4 linked regions of the Coturnix japonica genome follow. The protein of the gene in region 2 interacts with the protein of the main gene of each other region in a biochemical or structural test. Links are inferred from orthologs where the notes say so. Each region holds a gene or a part of one and is shown on either strand. Other genes may lie near its edges.

What was found. The genes of interacting proteins can lie anywhere in the genome.
Region 1: the proteins of SORT1 (region 2) and SORCS1 form a complex in vitro, tested with the Homo sapiens proteins (2 studies listed by BioGRID and IntAct, with this or other methods). The link is inferred for Coturnix japonica from reciprocal best matches to the Homo sapiens genes SORT1 and SORCS1.
Region 3: the proteins of SORT1 (region 2) and LRPAP1 form a complex in vitro, tested with the Homo sapiens proteins (4 studies listed by BioGRID and IntAct, with this or other methods). The link is inferred for Coturnix japonica from reciprocal best matches to the Homo sapiens genes SORT1 and LRPAP1.
Region 4: the proteins of SORT1 (region 2) and NGF form a complex in vitro, tested with the Homo sapiens proteins (3 studies listed by BioGRID and IntAct, with this or other methods). The link is inferred for Coturnix japonica from reciprocal best matches to the Homo sapiens genes SORT1 and NGF.

Annotation. Positions count from the first base shown.
Region 1 is NC_029521.1:22,108,435-22,113,202, reverse strand, and holds part of SORCS1 (VPS10 domain-containing receptor SorCS1), read left to right. Parts: exon of another isoform or gene 1-120; intron 121-1,710; coding exon 1,711-1,816; intron 1,817-1,973; coding exon 1,974-2,134; intron 2,135-3,478; coding exon 3,479-3,597; intron 3,598-4,768.
Region 2 is NC_029541.1:1,571,795-1,576,874, forward strand, and holds the end of SORT1 (sortilin), read right to left. Parts: intron 4,349-5,080; coding exon 4,159-4,348; intron 3,512-4,158; coding exon 3,395-3,511; intron 3,308-3,394; coding exon 3,199-3,307; intron 3,116-3,198; coding exon 3,009-3,115; intron 2,256-3,008; coding exon 2,129-2,255; intron 2,045-2,128; coding exon 2,030-2,044; 3' UTR 1,039-2,029; downstream 1-1,038. Other genes in the region: copine-8-like, read left to right, coding at 385-894.
Region 3 is NC_029519.1:74,331,435-74,335,409, reverse strand, and holds the end of LRPAP1 (alpha-2-macroglobulin receptor-associated protein), read right to left. Parts: intron 3,462-3,975; coding exon 3,303-3,461; intron 2,919-3,302; coding exon 2,836-2,918; intron 2,654-2,835; coding exon 2,477-2,653; intron 2,143-2,476; coding exon 2,077-2,142; 3' UTR 1,470-2,076; downstream 1-1,469. UniProt on the Homo sapiens protein: Molecular chaperone for LDL receptor-related proteins that may regulate their ligand binding activity along the secretory pathway.
Region 4 is NC_029541.1:3,978,277-3,983,044, reverse strand, and holds part of NGF (beta-nerve growth factor), read left to right. Parts: intron 1-400; 5' UTR 401-472; intron 473-1,165; 5' UTR 1,166-1,305; intron 1,306-3,648; 5' UTR 3,649-3,687; coding exon 3,688-3,837; intron 3,838-4,382; coding exon 4,383-4,768. UniProt on the Homo sapiens protein: Nerve growth factor is important for the development and maintenance of the sympathetic and sensory nervous systems.

The sequences.
Region 1 (4,768 bases), on a different chromosome or scaffold from region 2:
TGGAAGTGGTTCACTTAAGGCAGGGCCAGAAGTAGACTGTAGAGAGCATTGTCTGGACAAACATGTATGTAAATCCATTCCCATGCCTCGGTGCACACATGTTGCTCCTTGTGAGTGCACCTGGTCACGCAAAGCAGAAATCTCAGCATCAGAGAAGCTACAGAGAACATAAGTGCAGGTATTTAAATTAATTTGGTGTGGACATTCGTGCAGAATGTGCAGAAACGAGCCTCTTTGTGCATGTTGTAGTTAAACACATGCGTTCCCCAGGACACAGAAGAATGACAGGTGTTGGGCTCAGCGCATTTCATGCCCCTGTGTTTTCTGTTCAGGCCACACTGGAGGAAGGATTAATTAATGGCAATTCTGCACAACAGATTGCAATCCATTCATCATGTTCATTTCTGCTTCTCATGAAAAAGAATTAAAACAATGTCCCCAACCCAGCGAACAACTACCTCTGTTCTAAGGCAGAACAAAATATGCCAGCATTCCTCAGAAAGCAGTTAAATAGCTGTTTGTGGCAAGGTTCTGAGTACAGCATTAGAACAAGAGCATTGAGTGATGCTGGAATCAGTCAGAGCGCCACTTCACCATCCCACAGAACTGCAGAGAGCCACACAGTACAAACACACACAGTTCAGATCTATGAAGGATTCATAGCAATAGATGTCTCAGCTTCTTAAGCACAGCCTGAGGGATGTGGGAAGTTTTTCCGCTTCTCCTGATAAAATCTGGTTCATAGGCTGGGTGTGATTGCTGAAAGTACGCATATGTGCGACACTGCTGCCAGAGTCCTTCTGTTTGCGTTATTTGAGTGATAAATACTGCCTCTATTTAATATTGTTTACTTTGTATTTCTGGGAATGCACGCTTCTGGATGTTTTGTGTGGCCTTATTTTGCAAAGGGCTATGAAAATGTGCTGCAAAACTCTAAAGAGAAGCACCGGGAGACTTCTTGTTTGACTAAGATTTTTTATTTTCTCTTATTTCTTTTTCTTGAACCTTTGCACTTCCTTGCAGAGATGGCTTGTGGGAGAGAGAACAGGGCATGGGGGAGAGAGAAGTGTTCAGAGGAGTAGGAAAGGGATAGATAGAGAAACTGAAGATGTCAGAGGTGTGAGAAGAGCTTGCCATGGTAAGGCATGGATGCTGAGGCAATGTCTGTGAAGGGCACCAAACTTCTGATTGTGAAGAAAGAGGATTGAGCAGAGAGCAGTACATTTGGTATCAGGACACTGTTGCTTCAGTAAAATCCAGTATCCAGTTGCTCATTATTCAGCAGGTATTGAGAGCTACCCAGACTAGCTCCAGGCAAAACAGGAAGTCAGCATGACAAGGTAGCCCATGGGTAGCTCCAGGATCCTTCAGAAAGTCTGGGTTTAGTACTCAAGTGACCTCATTTGCAACTACCTTCAGTAGTTGCCTGCAACATAATAGGGTATTTTTCACACTTTATTCTGTAAAGTGCCAGAGAGGAGAGGCCTCTAAAGAGAAAGCTATGGTGCCTTCAGGGCTTAGGCTGAGCAGCACAGCTAGTCTGAACCCAGGTTTCTTCCCAGCTGTATTAGAAAGAGAGAGAAGCCCTGAAGACAGGTGGACAGATGAGACTGTTATAAATACCATACAAGAGAATTAAGTACATATTTGGAGAGAGAACTTCTCCCTCTAGGCTGAAGGTGACTCTAACCTTCCCTCCCTCTCTTGCAGCTCCCCTGGTGGACCTCACTCCCAGTCACAGTGGTTCAGCAATGCTGATGCTCCTCTCTGTCGTTTTCGTGGGACTAGCCGTGTTTGTAATCTACAAATTCAAAAGGTATGACCTTCCCTGGGCCATTTCCTTCCCCCACTGCTGCCGGGGATTTGTTTGCTGGGCTTTCCTTTTCACAGTGATTTGTTTCTTGGTTTGCAAAAGCTAATGCTACATCACCTGCCAGAGTACCCCCCAATGATGGTTTCTGTTAATGTTTTAGGAAGATTCCTGGCCTTAATATATATGCACAGATGCAGAATGAAAAAGATCAAGAGATGGTCAGTCCAGTCAGTCAGAGGGAAAACATACCTAATGTCCCTCAAAGTGAGCTGATGAGCCCTGAGCAACTAGTAGATGAGAAGTTGGATGTCCAGCCCATAGGTAAATAACTTGCAGCAACCCGCAGTTGGTCAGACTCTGACTTATAATTGGCTAACCCTTTTCTCAGTCTTCCCCTTTCCCATCTCCCTGCACACTCCTCCTGCCATCCTCTTCTGCTGCAGTATTAGTTTTGCTACAGGAAACCTTGCTAACTCTCCCCTCTCCCTCACTGCCCTGTGGTGAAAGGGAGAGAAAGAACTTCAGGCTTTTCCCTTCTCCTAGTTGCTCTGTGTAGATCCTCTTCCCTTCTCAAAAACCCTGCTGCACTTAACTTGCGCTATAAGGCAATTTAATTTATTTTGCTGGGGCTGATGTTGTTATGGGGCTACACCTCACACCTGAGTCCTGTCCAGGAGAACTTCAGCCACCCTCACCTGGAGCATGGAGGTGAGCAGGTGATTCGGTAAGTCAAATCTAAAAGTTAAATATTCATTTGTGTTTTCACTGCTGTGTCCTTCGTGGTGTGCCAGACCTCACTGCCAGCAGCAGTGCTATCCTGACTGATTCACAGGGAAATAGAGCAAAACCTGGGATCTCAACACTGGGCTGCTGGGTTTGCCCTTAGGCTGATTGCTCCCACATGACTGGTTGAAAAAATAACATTAGGATTTAAACTGAACAGCATTGAGGTGACCATACTGGGTTCAGTCACCCATTTGCTCATGCTTATGTTATCACATCACCCCAAATAAAGTAAAAGCATTGGGACAAAGCAGGGAGGTTTCAGTCTGGGGGCATGTTCTTCTAAAGCAAACATTACTTAGGGATTACTTGGGTATTCTTCAGCTTTGTTTGTAAGGGGAAAGCTCTGCAGGCCCAGACCACAGGAACAGTGCTGGACTCCAGCAAATAAGAACACAGATATGCTTTACAGGTATTACTCATAAAATAAACAGTTCTTCTGATTCAGATTTGATGCATAGTCATAACTATGATCCTTTATTTTCACAATTTCATCAGCTTAACTAAGTGTTAGATCCCACCCGAGGAAGTCCCTAAATTGTGTGGGAGTTTGCTAAAGCAGATTTGATGTCTTAGATACCACAGAGAGAGAGCAAAGGGAAGGGCAAATAAAAGAGGAAATATGAAGTACTAAGATTGTGGCCTGTGAAACATCCTGGGAGGAAAAAGAAGAAAATCTCTTGATGAAATCAGTGTCTAAACTGGAAGCTCCAGTGCAGTGCAGTCAGTAGTGATCTCTTATCACACATTCACCAAGGGGAGATCTGGTAGTTATTAAAAGCTTTTTAGCAACTATCCATCAACAGACCTGGATATCCCTGCTTAGCAGTACACAGGATGGAGTGAGGGAACCAACCTTCCCATGTGGTGTTCCCCATACAGAGCAACCCCAGGCCACAGTCCAGAACCCAAGGAAAGGAAATGCAGCCAAGGTAGTCTGGACAGAGGACTTCCAAAAGGCTTGTGGATCACCAAGAGGTTTCAAGCCAAGACCCGGAGCGGTGGGTCCTAAATTTTAACAATTACTCTTTCTTTTTTTTTTTTTTTTTTTTTTTTTTTTTTTTTTTTTTTTTTTTCTTTTCTTTCTCTTTATATCCTAGAAGCTCCAAAATTGGTCTAAGTTGCTAAGGGAGAAACACCCAATTTCAGGCCAGGAACTCAGTTCCCAGAGTTAGTTGAGCTTTGAGATTTCTCTTTCTAAAGGAATGTAATGATCATGATTTCCACTGTTGGCAGAGAGTAGCAAATGTTTTCAGAGGTCACTCAGACTGAAGAGACAACAGTCAGCCAGCTGCTAGCTCTACTGTTGCTGGTGATGGGAATTAATCTCTTGAAGCCTCTGGGATCAGAGAAGTCAAAAGCCAACTTGGGGTTTGGTTTTCATTTGGTGCAACTGCAGCATTTTTGGCTTTCTACAATAGGTAGCGTTCTGTGGATTTCTCAGCTGTACCCAGCACTGTTGGATGCTGTATTGAACCAGAAATTGGCCTTTTATTCATCCTTGAGTTTCACCTGTAACTACAAGAGTGAGCACAAAAGGGACAGATAGTCTCAATTCTCTATCAAAAGAAATCCTTCCAACAAACTTCCTAGGAGCTTGTTTTTCAATTCTGGCAGTAAGATGAATGTGGAAACTAAATCATCATTGACAAAATGGGAAGGTCTGGACGTAGATGTGAATAAAATAAAGTGAAAGGCTCTTTCCACTTGTATACAACTACTTCACATGTTTGTGTAAATCAGCAACTCCTTTTTTAATGAGCTTTCCTCCTTTTGGGAAAACCAAACAAGACTGTAATTGGGTGTTTCTCTTTTCTATGCCTGTTCAGAAGCTGGGTTTTTTTCCAACTCCTTTGACTAACATTCAGAGACCTTTCCTTGGAGGAATGCAAATGAATGTCCCTGGATCATTTAATTTTCTCTCCAAACCCTGGCAGCAAAAAAAAAAAAAACAAAACAAAAACACCACAGTTCCTATTTTCTGGGTGTGAGTAGTTTAGGCTCTTCTTTTGCAAAGGCAAACCTTAAGGTTATTTATGAAATCTCCAATACCTTCTAATTACAAAAGAGATACACTTTTCCTCTGAGGACCTCAGCCCCTTCTTCCCTCTGGCCTCTCCCTCTTCTGTTCTACATGGGTGAATCATCTTCATTAGCAAAAGAACAGTACAT
Region 2 (5,080 bases):
GCTATAGGGTGCCCACCCCCCCAGCCCTATACATTGCTATAGGGTGCCCACCCCCCCTACATCCCCCTCCCCAGACCCCTCCACTGCTGATCCCAGTGTTGCAATGAGGGGGTGGGTGGGATGGGGGTGTTCTGGGATATGGGGTGCAGTGGGGCTGGGAGTGGTACAGTGGGATGGGGGGGTACTGGTACTAGGGGAGACATGGAGGGGTGCTGGGGAAGGAGGGGATGATGGCCTGGAGCTGCAGTGGGATGTGGGGTAATGCAGGACACTGTGGGGTGGGCACTGAGATATGGGGATGCAGTAGGACGGGGGGATGCTCCAGGCCATGGGGACACACGGGGCTGTACCCAAACCCCCCATCCTCTGCCCTCCCCCCCCCAGTTTGTCCCATTCCGTGACTACACGGACCGGGGGGGCAGCCAGGTGCTGAGCATGGCCCGCCTGGCCAAGGATGTGCTGGCTGAGATCCCCGAGCAGTTCATCTCCTACATGAAGGCTCACGGCATCAAACCACAGCCTGCACCCCCCAGCCCCGAACCCCCCGGGACCCCCCCACCCTCCCAACCCCCCGGGGCCACCTGGGGACACGCAGGTACCGACCTCTGCCCTGAGGTTATGGGTAAATCTCAGCCACTCACTGCCAGCCCCCCCCCCCCACCAATGGGAATAGGGGTTTTGGGTGGGGGGGGGACACTTCCCACCCCCTGTGTTGTCCTGTCCTGTCCCCAGGACCCCCCATGTCTCTCCTCCATCCCCTGGTTGTGCTGCCCCTTTGCAGCAAGGAGTTGGGGGGGGGGAAGGGGGTGGTCCTGGGCATCCCCCCCCCCCCAGTTATTTTTCTACGTGCATGGCTGTCGTGTGCCCACGGTGCGTTGCCTTAATCTGCAATAAATGATGGGATTTTTAATCCCCCCTCCCCTCCCAAGCCCATCAAACATCATTGGGTGCCCCCCCCCCCCCCCCCCCCCCCCCCCCCCCCCCCCCCCCAAAAAACCCTTGGGGCCCCCCCCCCCCCCCCCCATAGAACCGCTCACACAGGGTCTGTTTTGCCTTTATTATTACTAAGAACCCAAAATATTGCAAATATACAGAAAAATGCCGGTATAAAGTTATCACACATCCGGGTTTATTTACAGAGCTCTACATGCCCCCCCTCCCCTCCCACCCCCCCCCCAACCACCCAGCTCTGAGTTGGGGGGGGGGGGGTCCGGGGGGGGGTCCTATGGCATCTCCCTATGGAGGGGGCATGCGCCGGCCCCACTGCGGTGCTGCAGAAGCGCATGCAAGCAGCCCCCCCCCTCCACACACCCCATTGATACCATGGGGTTGGGGGGGGGGGCACCAATCTTGCCACCCCCCCCCATCCCATGGAAGGGGATTTCCAGTGTAAGGAGACAGTGACAGTGCTGGGACTGAAACCTGGCGGGGTGAAAGCAGAGCTGGGGAGGGGGGGGGGGCAAAGGGGGGGGACAGGGACCAACACCCCCCCCAGCCCCTCGTTAAAAAGCTTCAAGCCTGAATTCATTATTGCTACGTTTCCCTCGGCCAAGGGCAGCCCCGGGGGGGGGATAAGGCTGGGAGGACCCCCCCCACACACACAGCAGTGTATATTGCTTTGGAGAATGGGGGGAGCCCCCACCCCCTGCATCCCATGTGCTGCTGCTTGGGGGTCCCCATGTTGGGGTGGGGAGCGGGGGGCACCCCAAGGGTGCTGCAGGCTGGGGGGGGGCACAGCCCTGCAGCCTGGGGGCACCAAGGGGAAAAGACCAACAAAAACCAAGACAAAAACCCCATAAAAATACCAAATACCCCCCTCCAAAAAGGGACCCCCCCTGCCCACTCCCCCCAAAAGAAAGAACAAAACCAAGGGAAAAAAGAAGATGAAATAAAAGCAAACTGACCCCCCCCCCCAGCTGCAAAGAGCCCCTGGGGTGAGCTGATGCCATGCTGCTGTGTGCCCCCCCCAGCACAGCCCCCCCAGCCCTGCCTGCCCCACAGTGCAGCTCCTGCCGTCCCAGCGTTGCTGCTACTCCAACAGGTCCTGGGGGGGGAAGAGGGGAGTGTCACTGCGGGGATCCCAGCCCGGGGGGGTCCTCATGGTGTGTATATGTGGGGGGGGGCTCACCTCATCCGAGTCATCGTGGTACCCCCCCCCTTTGTAGGGTGGTGAGGGGGGATCTGCTGCCTCCAACCCCTCGGTGCCGCTGGCCTCAGCGTGCTGCCGCAGCACGGAGTAACGATGGACCAGGAACCTGAGGGGGGGGACAGAGATGTGGGGTCACCATAAGGCCATACAGAGCAACCAGGCACTACCAGGAGCCCATAATGTCATGGGGATCCCATAGTGAGTGTGGGAAGCTGGCAGGACCCCCTCCCCAGCCATGGGTAGGTCAGGTCCCACAAAGTCCATGGGGACACACAAGCCAGGAGGGATTATAAGGCCATGGGGACCCCAAACCCATGGGGGACCCCCTGTAAATGACAGGGATGCCCCCTAGCAACAGGGACCCCATAAAGCTATGGAGACCTCACAGACCCACAAGGATCCCTCCCAGCCATAGATCCCTCCATAAAGCTTCCAAGACCCCAGAGCCAGAGGAACCCCAAGAGCCACAGGGAACCCAAAGCCATGGAGACCCCAAGGAGACCCCATAATAAAGTCACAGAGACCCCATGGGGATCACAGGTATCCCCAGCCATAGGGACCCCAATGCAATGGAAATCATATAGAGACAGAGGAACCCATAGGGACCACAAAGCCATGGGGACCCCCCAAGTCATATAGACCCCTCAAAGCCAGGGGGACCCCTCTGCCATGTAAAGACCCCTTTGGGACCCACAAAGCCCCCCAGTCATAGGAGTCATAAAGCCATGGGGACCCCATGGGGACCACAAGGACTCTCCAACCACAAGGATCCCACAAAGCCATAGGGGGCCCCCAGGCCACTGGGACCCTACAAACCCCTATAGACCCCACAGAGCCAAAGCTCCCAGCTGGGACCCACCTCCCACCACAGACGTATTTCTTGATGAGCAGCACAGCAGCCACAGCACTAACGAGCAGCACGGCCACCACGGCCAGCACGATGGGTGTGGGGCTGGGGGCCACCGCCTGCAGGGACAGCACAGCGTCACCCCATTGGGGTCAGCACACCCCATAGCCACCTTGATGTGGGGTTGTGGGGTGGCACCCACCAGCTGCCCAGGGCTCAGCAGAGTGCTGGTGCATTTCTTCTTCATGTCTGTCTCCTCCCTGCTGGGGCTCTCACCTCCACTGCATTTGTCCCCTGGAATCTTGCGGTACCTGGATTGAAATAGGGTGGGGGGGTTGATGTGCTGTGAGCCCCAGGACCCCCCCGTACCCCATGGAGGTGTAGGATTGGGGCCGTACCCGCTGGTGCGCAGCAGCTCCCGGCGGCCATAGAGGCAGAACTCCAAGTCGTGGCCCTTCAGCTCGGGCTGCTCCACACACACAGACTGGTTCTCAGGGCGGTAATACCCAAAATCACTGCGGGATTTGGGGCAGAGGGTTCAGCACCCCCCCAATGGTGTGACCCCATTGGGGCTGGCAGGATAAAGCAGGGAATGTGGGGGAGTGGGATCAGGTACAGTGATATGATGGCACTGGGATGAGGGGGGAGGGATGTGGTGGCACTGGGGTCATGCACAGGGACAGGGTGGCACTGGGATGGGGTGGGCAGGGAGATGGTGGCACTGGGATGGCAATGGGATCATGCACAGGGAGAGGGGGGCACTGGGATGAGGTGGGAGAGATGTGGTGGCACCAGGGTGACACTGCCATTGCAATGGGATCATGCACAGGGACAGGGTGGCACCAGGATGGCATTGGGATGAGGTGGACAGGGATGAGGTGGGCAGGAATGTGGTGGCATTGGGGTGACACTGCCATTGCACTGGGATCATCCACAGGGACAAGGTGGCACCGGGGTGGCACTGGGATGAGGGAGGCAGGGATGTGGTGGCACTGGGGTGGCATTGGGATCACACACAGGGACAGGGTGGCACTGGGATGAGGTGGGAGGGATGCTGTGGCACTGGGATGGGGTGGGCAGGGATATGTTGGCACTGGGATCACACACAGGGACATGGGGGCACTGGGATGGCTGCGGGGCGATGGGGGCAGCGCTGCGGTACCAGAGGAAGTCGTGCAGGGTGCAGGGGCACACAGAGGGCTGCGCTGTCACGGCGTAGTCGCGGCCGTTCTGGCAGACCGAGGACTTGCGCAGCCGGCGGAACTGCTCCTTGTAGCCCAGGATGCAGCCGTCCGACGGGTCGCGGGGGTCGCTGGAGTGCGCCAGCCAGATGGTGTAATCCTCATCCTCACCTGCAGGCAACGGGATCAGCGGGTCCCTGCTCACCCCCCTCCCATCTCCATCCCCATTTTCCCCCATTTCCATCCCCACTCCTCCCCGTCCCTGTGTCCCTTGTTCCCCTCCATCCATCCCTGGCTTCATCTCTATCCTGCCCCAAACCCATCTCTACTTTCCCCCCATTGATCCCTACCTCCATCCATATTCCCCTCCATTTTCATCCCCACTCGCCCTGATTTCTGTTCCTATTCCCCCATTTCCCCTCCATCCCTATACCTGTCCCTTCTCCCCCCTCTATCTATCCCTATCTCCATCCCTATTTTCCCTGCCCTGCACACTTCCATCCCTATTTTCCCACCCCTGACCTCCATTCCAATTCCCCTTCTATACCTACCTTTATTCCCACCCACATCAACCCCCATTTCCATCTCTATTCCCCCCTCTATCTATCCCTATTCCTCCTCCATCCCCCTCATCTCCATCCCCATTCCCCCTTGTACCAATCCCTACTCCCTCCTTCATCCCCATATCCATCCCCATTCTCCCCTATTCCCATCCCTATATCCATCCCTATTCTCCCCTATTCCCATCCCCATATATCCATCCCTATTCTCCCCTATTCCCATCTCCATCACCATCCCTATTCTCCCCTATTCCCATCCCTATATCCATCCCTATTATCCCCTATTCCCTTCTCTATATCCATCCCTATTCCCCCGCCCCTTCCATTCCCATATCTCCCCCAT
Region 3 (3,975 bases), on a different chromosome or scaffold from region 2:
CACAACCTGTCCTGCATGAAATCGCTAACAAATTTGAGATTCTTTTTTTAGAGAACACGTGTTCATGTCTTTTTTTCATGGCTTTGAATTTATTGTTTTTTACACGGGTGGAGGATTCATCTTTAAAAGCAACATCTCAGACTATTCACTTGTGTCATTTTGGCCAGATGAACTGTCTCTGGATTAAAACCTCAATAAACTGAGCTAAACAAATACCGATGGGTGAAAGGCACTGAGTTTCAAAGCAGTGTAATCAGACTTCAGCCTCTTCAGATCTCAAGAAAAGCAGCAAAGAGCCTTGGCAGGAATGGAAGATATTCCTAACGTTTTCTCTGTGCTGGTGCATTATCTGACTGCCAGTGTTCCAGGGATTCAGGAGGAAGCTGAATTTAGGAGGAGCAAATGATGCTGCTTAACATTTTCTCCTCCAGGTTTGTATGAACAACCTTTGTACCTAATGACTCATTAACGGCTGCGTTCAACAACTGAAGTGAAATGGCTGCACTAAAAACAGTCTTCCAACCTTTTTCAGTACTCATCTCTGACTTGTTCCTCATTTTAAATTACTGCAACCTGTAAATGTATGTTGTCAGTCTCTGAACTCAGAACTTTTACTGGAGCTTTCAGTTGCCTCTGGCTACAGTAGAAATAATTCTATAAATTCCATTCTCTGCAGAACTGTATCTCACTTAACTTTGCTTCAGACAAAACATAATATTCTTAATGAAATCCTGGAGCTGAAAATGTACATGTTGCTCAAATGCCATCTTTGGCACTACAGCTGCTAGAGGGAGATGTAGCACCATGAATGTGGCTATGCTCAAGTCTCTTATGCAACCAAAGGCAATTAGCTGTGGTGCTTAGGCTGAAGTGTAGGTCTGGAACATCACTGGCAACATCACTACAACCACAAGTGGTGCTTTCAGAATCAGAAAGGTACCAATATTCTCTCAATTCCCTGTAGGCATCTAAATCATATTATTTTAAAGAACTGTTACTGACTTACTGTTAATATTAATAGTGCTCTGCGTTTCAACTGATGAACAACGATTCTCTGAAATAAAAATAACAGCTTACATTCAAACAAAACCAGTAAGAAATTACTGCTGCAATGTAAGGCATTCAAAATCTCACAGTAGGACCGCTACCACTCTTTTCATTCAAATCACCTGTGCCTTATGAAATAGCCTATATGTGCAGAATTGTAATACTTTCAACCCAACATGGACTCAGGACCTGGATAAGTAATATACGCAGTGGCTGACTCTGACAAACTCTCTCTCTTTACTGGTTCTCACAGATGATTGATAGAGCTTTGCAACCAAGCAGCTGTAATGATTTACTGACACTGGACTTTTGCCTTAGTCTTGTTCCTGGCAGTTTCACAAGAAAAAGCCTTAGAAATAAAGGGTCAGCATGATAATCATAGAAAGTTTCAACCCAAGTGGGAAAGACAAAAAACACCTCAATGGTATCTTGTTTTGATTTTTAATGACTAAGTGTAACAAAACCAAACAACTATGAATTGCAAAATCGTACACATACGTTCAGTAACTTCAGATGCGTTAGTCTGTAAGTTTTGTGAATTGACCTCAATACTTATTCTTCCCTTATTCCTCCCCCTCCTCTCACATGAAAGATTCATATACAGTGCAGCTGAGTCAATGCTCAGCAAGTAAAAACATTTTAGTTACCTTCAGTAGAAAATGCATCAAACCAAACAGTGAAATATTAAACTTCTCTCATCTTTAACAACCTGTACCTCAGGTGTCTGCTTTCATTGATCAGAATTCCTTGACTAACTATAAGATCAATATTTTTACAAGCAGGAATCTTCTGACTGCTCACACTTCCTTGTGACGTGACTTATTTCAAAGGCTGTTACTTGATTCAGATTTATAGTGTAATCATTTAACATGATAATGCAAATACAAAACTAAGTGGACCACAGAAAGTTTTCTTACAGGACAACTCTTCAATCCTTAGAATTTTGGAAGGACTGCTTGGCTAATCCTGTTCATAAAATCCCTCTGTTATTTATGTTCATAAATTGATCCCATGAAGGAGAACAGATGTTTATAATTCATTGTGTTGAAGACCTTGAGAGATTCTGCTGGATAAGTCTTGCAAATGCTTCTTGACCTAGAAGAAAAAGGAAACAAATCAAACAAATATCAGTACAACGAATAATGCTAGAAGATTAAATCAGTCAATCTAATATACTTAGATTTTTGCTATTAGTATATGTGGCAGCTCTTGGGAAGAGCTGAGACTAGGAAATTTTCAGGCATTTTAGAATTAGGTCTGTAAAAACCAATCATGTCTATTCAGCATTAAACATGAAGCACAGGTTTGCCTTAACCTCCTCCTCTGGAAGATGTTTACCTGCATGAAAAATACCAGCACTAGGTAACTGACATTCCCTTAACTACTGAGTCTAATTCTCAACAGGTACGTACACTGAATTTATACAGACCTTATATCCGAGCTCTTTTGTCTTTTCTTCTAGCATGGCATATTTCTCTCTGTTTCTGTTCAGATGTTCCTTATCTCCAGTCCCCTCAATATGTTTTAGTTTCTCGTGTGAAATCTCTAATTGCTTCTGATAGTGATGATGTTTTTCAATTTTTGCTTCGAAGTGTTTCAGTTCCTCCTAGGACAATGCACATGAGTAGTTTCACATATGTATATATTTTAAACATTAAATAATGACCTTTTTATTTTTTTCTGATGCCTGAAAAGCAATACAGAATTGGCTGCCCTATGAGTAACACAGTATTTCTTTATGTGGAAAAATACCTTCCCCGTGGGAGATCTTACTGGAATTCTACTTACCCGAAAAGATTCCAGCTCTTTCTCAGTGAAATTGGCTGATTTTGCCATGTCCCACAAATCAATCACTCTTGGTTCTTCGAATTCTAAACAAACACAAATTACCAGATGAAGAAATGGACATAATGCTTTCATGCAAGATAAGCATGCCAAGCACACCAAGCAACATATTACTAACAGGTCTACTTAGATGAAAAGGGAGAAAAGTCCAAGTACTTCACTTAAAACAGCAGTATTGTAGCAAGCATTTATTTAAGAAACTTATTTAAAAGAAAAAAAAAAAAACCATCCCCAGAAACTAATTAATGCCCTGCACATTGCCTAACTTACCCGCCCCTGGTGCAGAGAGTCTAATATCCCTTCCCATGTTACATGAATTCACTGTGATTAAATGAATTAACTTGCTCACCAATTTTTACTTAATAAAATTGATACCAAATAGAGTTTAAAAAAATACCGGGGAGTCGTACCACTGGTTGCATCATATCCTTGGTGACTGACTTTACGTAAACGCTCAAACCCCTGGTTGATGCTTCTTAGCTTGTCTTTAAGCTCTCTGTGTTTGTTGTGCAAGACTTCCTCTTTCACCAGGTTCTCCTCAGATGGGTTGATTACATTTTTGTGAATATCTGTTGAAAGAGAAAAGCTATACTGACTGTGGGCCAAATCCCAATAGGTAAGAAGCCCCAGAAATCCCTCCAATCTGGGATGAATAAAATACAGTCAGTTCTTATTATCAGTAAAGCGCTGACATCATACTCTAAAAAGCAGTAACTCTTTTTGCACATTAATGCTCCTCAGTGCTCTGGAGGGCGGTGTTACAGAAAATGCCTTTTACCTCCTGCTGGTGATCAGCTGAAGTTTTAATAAGGGAATGTTCTAATTTCTGTGGTTAGCATTATCTCAAGGAAATTGAATAGGTATGGTGGGTAAATCCTATAACCCTCCCTCAGACATTTCATGAATTAGTCAGGACAGCCAATGTTGAAATAGCTTCCAACAGCTTCAGCTTGTACTCTACAATACAAACATCAAGCTGCCTGCAAGCTTCAGAGCAGTTTGATTCTAACAAAAACAGGATTAATAGAGCAAACTTAGGCTCAGAGCCTAAGATACATATCCTCTTGGGCTTCTACTGATGAA
Region 4 (4,768 bases), about 2.4 Mb from region 2:
ACACTGCCTGATTTACTGGATTCTGCCACAGCTGGCAATCCGGGAAGAAGACAGCAAAAGAACTTAAAAAAAACACAACCTTCTGAAAATAAACTCTTTTGTGGTTAAATAACCAGCCAGTTGGAGCTGAAGCTGTGTTTTCTTAGGGTGGCAGAACAGTAGGAAAAGCTGCTGGATTATTTTTGGCAGTGGTCACTATTTTAGATCTACCATTACCGAACTAACAGAGTACACTGAAAGGGTTATTGCTTTATTAGTATGTTATTCCAAAAGACGTAGCATACATTGCTACACAAAGCAATGCAATGAGCACATCACACGAGCTTGGGAGGTCTCAGATTTATGAGAACTGGATATCCTGTGTGATGTCTCATATGCACTCTTTATTTCTTTCCATCAGAACTATCCTGTAGATATTATAAATGCCTGTGTGGTCCTGGCAGACCTGCTTCAGGTGGCTCTACTTGAGCAGGTGGGTTGATCAGATGGAGGGAAGGATTAGATTGGATACTGGGGAAGTTCTTCATAGAGGGCAATGAGGTCTGTCCAGCTGCCCTGGAGGTGTTCAGGGCCAGGTTGGATGGGCCCTGGGCTGGTGACAGATATGGAGGTTGGTGGCCCTGCATGTGGTGGGGATTTGGAACTCAGTGATCCCTGGGGCCCCTTCCAACCCAAGCCATTCTATGAGATGGCCTCTGGAGGTGCCTTCCAACCTAAACCATCCAGTGGTTTTGTCTCTGGTTTTGAGTGATTACTGACAACATGCGGTCTCATCACTTGTAACCAGAATTGCCTTCAAGATGAAGATGGGAGGTTTGAATACTCATTTGTCCATACCTGTTATGCAAACTGAGCTACATTAGCAAGTATTGCTTTGTTTATGCTGCATTACTCCTGCTTACAGTGAGCCTGTAAGATGCCTGAGAGGGATTGGGGACAGTGGATAATTAAGAAGGGTCTTGTAAAGGAGCTGAATAAGGTATCTTGTCTTACAGTCATGCTGCTTGTGAAAGACAAGATTGGCACTTTAGACAATTACCAGTGAAAAAGGCACAGCTCAGAGAGTTGAGAGTGGATTTGTCCCTGTACTCCTGCAATGCAGTAGGGAAGGGTACTGAAATCATGTATTTGCTGGCTATTTACTGAAACATACTTTTAATTCTAGCTGAACACTGAGTAAGCAACTCCCAGACTGAACTACGCAGCCAACGTGGCCCGATGGCATGCTGCAGCCAACCCCAGCTCAGCATCTGGATGAAATAAAGACCTTCCTCAGGAGCAGCTTTTTGTGCAATATACTCAGAGGTAAGGACAGAACACATAGAGGAACCATGAAACCTTGAATTACCAGCATCACACAGCAGTCCAAACATCTTTACCAGGGGAAGAGTTTGTATGAGAGCAGGTAGCAAGAGATCTGATGAACAAATGAGGGAAGGATTAAAAAGCAATTGATCTGTCTTCTGAAAAGAGAAGATAAGGGCAGGTTGCATTTAATACTCTTATTTTTTGGAAATGCTTAATTCTTTGACATATTAAATAAGCTGCATCACTGTTATCTTCTAGCTAGCTATTGTTTGGCCAATAGGGGAGCTCCCACGTACCCCTTCCCATATTCTGCCTCCAGACAGGCCCTTTGTGGAAAATGATTTCTTACAATGAGAGATAATTGAGTTAGAAGTCACAGGGCTCATTAAATATCCTCCGCTTTCGTACAGCGGTTGTGTTTGTGGTATTGAAAGGATTGTGGTAACAGTCATAGCCCACATCACAAAGGCTGCAGTGCCAGCACTGGTACTGATGTGCATCTCCATGGAAGCTCAGGTGGCTGCACTGGGTGGGAACTGTGAACACTTTGCAAAGAGCACCATGGAGGAGTCCAGTAGGTAAATACAGAATGAAGTTAGAAACAACTCCCTAAAACAGCCTGTAAAATACCTCCACATCAGCAAGAGTCACAGTCCCAACAGTCTTAAGGCATGCCCTAAAATGTTAATTCTTCTGCTGGCATTGTCAGTGAGACTAATCCACTTTTTGAAGCTGTTTTCTTAATTATTTTCTACTAATGTAATAATAAAAGATTCAGTTTGGAATCTTCAGGAAAATACCACATATCCCAGATACATTTGCTTGCGTCTGGGCCACGATCCCATAGAATGCTTTGCCAGAAGGACAGGAAATACAAAGAAAGATGTAAAATATGCAACCTAAGAAGCTCAGAGAAAAAAAGTATGGCAGAAAATCAGGACAGAGCTCTTTGCTGGCATTGCTATGCCTCCATTCTATACAAGGGGATAATAATAACGGGTATTATGCATAAACACGATAGGCTGAGGCTGTTCTGGCATGTCTGAATTGCGCCTGGAGTTTGTTCTGCAAACCTTTTCCATTAACATTTCTGTTGGAAAAGCGAACTTTTTAGAGATGCAGTGACCCATCTGATTTCAATTTGGCTGCTGAACGAGGGGTTACTCTTTGAATTGTGCATAGCCAAGCTATTGAGCTACACCTAGTTCTATTTCCTTGTGCAGATGATGATGGCTGCTCAAGTAGGAGCAGCATGTGAGCAAGCAGCGACCCACAGCCTTCTTTTATGTAAATTAAAGTAGCTGGAACAGTAAGGACTTCCTCTGTGAGAGGCATTGGACTCCTAACCATTCTATCATCCCTAATTCTTCCAGTCCAAAGGAAGAATATCATCCCCATGATGCAGAGACTTGTAGCATCTCTTTAGTCTATTTGGCTTGTCCTGCTGGTTTCTTAAGCCCTGCGCACAAATACAGCCACAGCTGTTTATTTCATTGAGATAAGAAGTACCCACACAGGACTGTGGTACATATCAGGGCTCTGCATTTTCTACAGTGCATCCTAGTAAAGACAAAGCTTTAGTGCTGCTTCAAACTTTGCTTAGAGAAAGCTGAGCAGGAAGGGGTGAAGTCAGTGACTGAAGTCAACAGTGACTGACCCAAACCCAGAAAAACATCAGGACATGCTGGGAAATCACAGTGGAATTGCAGAGCCTGATTCTTCTTCTTGAAAAGCCCTGTTTGTCCAGTGGGTGTGAGGCTGCCTGCTGGCTGGACGCTGCAATTCAGGGCCAGCTGAGGCATGTCATGCAAACAGAGCACCAAGACAAGGGAGGAGCCTGTATTGATAGGGTTTTATTTATTATTATTTTTTTCCTGTTTACATCCTGTCTGTACCTAATGGTTCTTCACAGAGGAACACAATGCCAGCCCTTCGCTGCAATCTCAGATGGTGTTTTCAGTGCCTCTGCTGATGATTTGTTCCCTAGCATATGGCTGATTTAGTCAACACATGGCAGTTACCTAATAAAGTATTACTGCTGCTGGTGTTCCAGCATAATATTGTTCTTAGAGATATTTTAGATATTTGTCCCACATTTTTCCACACCCAAACAGATGTGCACATTCTCCAGGCTACAGGAATACTAGCACTCACTTTGGGTCTGCTATACAGGGACATTTGTGCAACTTCTTGCTCGTGGCACTGAGAAGAGGACGGTGTGTTCCTCTGTGCCCAGTACTGTGACCATAATGGTTTTAGCTATGCTCTACCTTAGATACCAACCAGAAATAGCCTGTCACCCATGGTGCTCCTATGTAATACCCATATTTGTCCTAATAGGCAGCCTGAACTTGGACAAATCCCATCTGCCCTTGTGACATGAGATGTCTGAGCTCTTCTGGGAAGGAGCGTGGGCTTTATCTGCCCCAAATCAGCAATGTGGTGCGTCCCGAAAGGGCAGGTGGGATAGATGGAGGCTGCTGGAGGCTGCTGAGCCAGCCAGAGTGCTGGGGCCTGTTCACATGGCAGGTAAGTGTGGCTGGGAGTGTGTGCTAATGGCTGGATTCAGGGGGTTCCCCCACTTCCACAAATACCAGCTTGGTGGTCCCCACCCTCACCCAAAGGACAGCCTTGCAGACAGATGAACTAAACAGAGAGCTATTTTAACCAAGGTCCTATTTCTACACTTGCTCCTCTGCAGGGTATTTGCAGCCAAAAGACCAGTGCTGGCCAAAAAGGTTATTGCAAAAATCACCAGAGATTTTACTCCTGGGAACATGCTGTCGCCATATGGTCTCCGCATTAATAATACCAAACAAGTGCTTCATAGTGTTCTAATAACAAATACCAGAGGAATTAATAATAATCTAGCTATTATTTTCTAATGTTCTCACTTTATGAACAACTTTTATACTGTCTGAATGAGCTCTTCTGGAAGATCAACATCTGGTACCCACATGAGATCCTGATGAAATCTGTATGGTCCTGGGTATCTTACACATTTATTGCCAGCAAACGCCATCTGTTTCTGCCAGCGTGGCTTACAGTAATACTGCATTTCTCTTTTGTTCTAGGTGCATAGCGTTATGTCCATGCTGTACTACACTCTGATTATAGCTTTTTTGATCGGCACACAGGCAGCTCCAAAGTCAGAGGACAATGGTCCACTGGAGTATCCTGCAGAACACTCCTTACCCCCTACACAACAGAGTAACGGACAGCACATTTCCAAGGCAGCCCCACAGACAACCCACGGCCACTTTGCTTGGATGCCAGATGGAACGGAAGATTTAAATATTGCCATGGACCAAAACTTCTTCAAGAAGAAGCGTTTCAGGTCTTCTCGGGTCCTGTTCAGCACACAGCCGCCTCCAGTGTCAAGGAAAGGGCAGAGTATGGGATTTCTCAGCAGTGCAGCCTCTCTCAACAGGACTGCCAGGACCAAGAGGACTGCGCATCC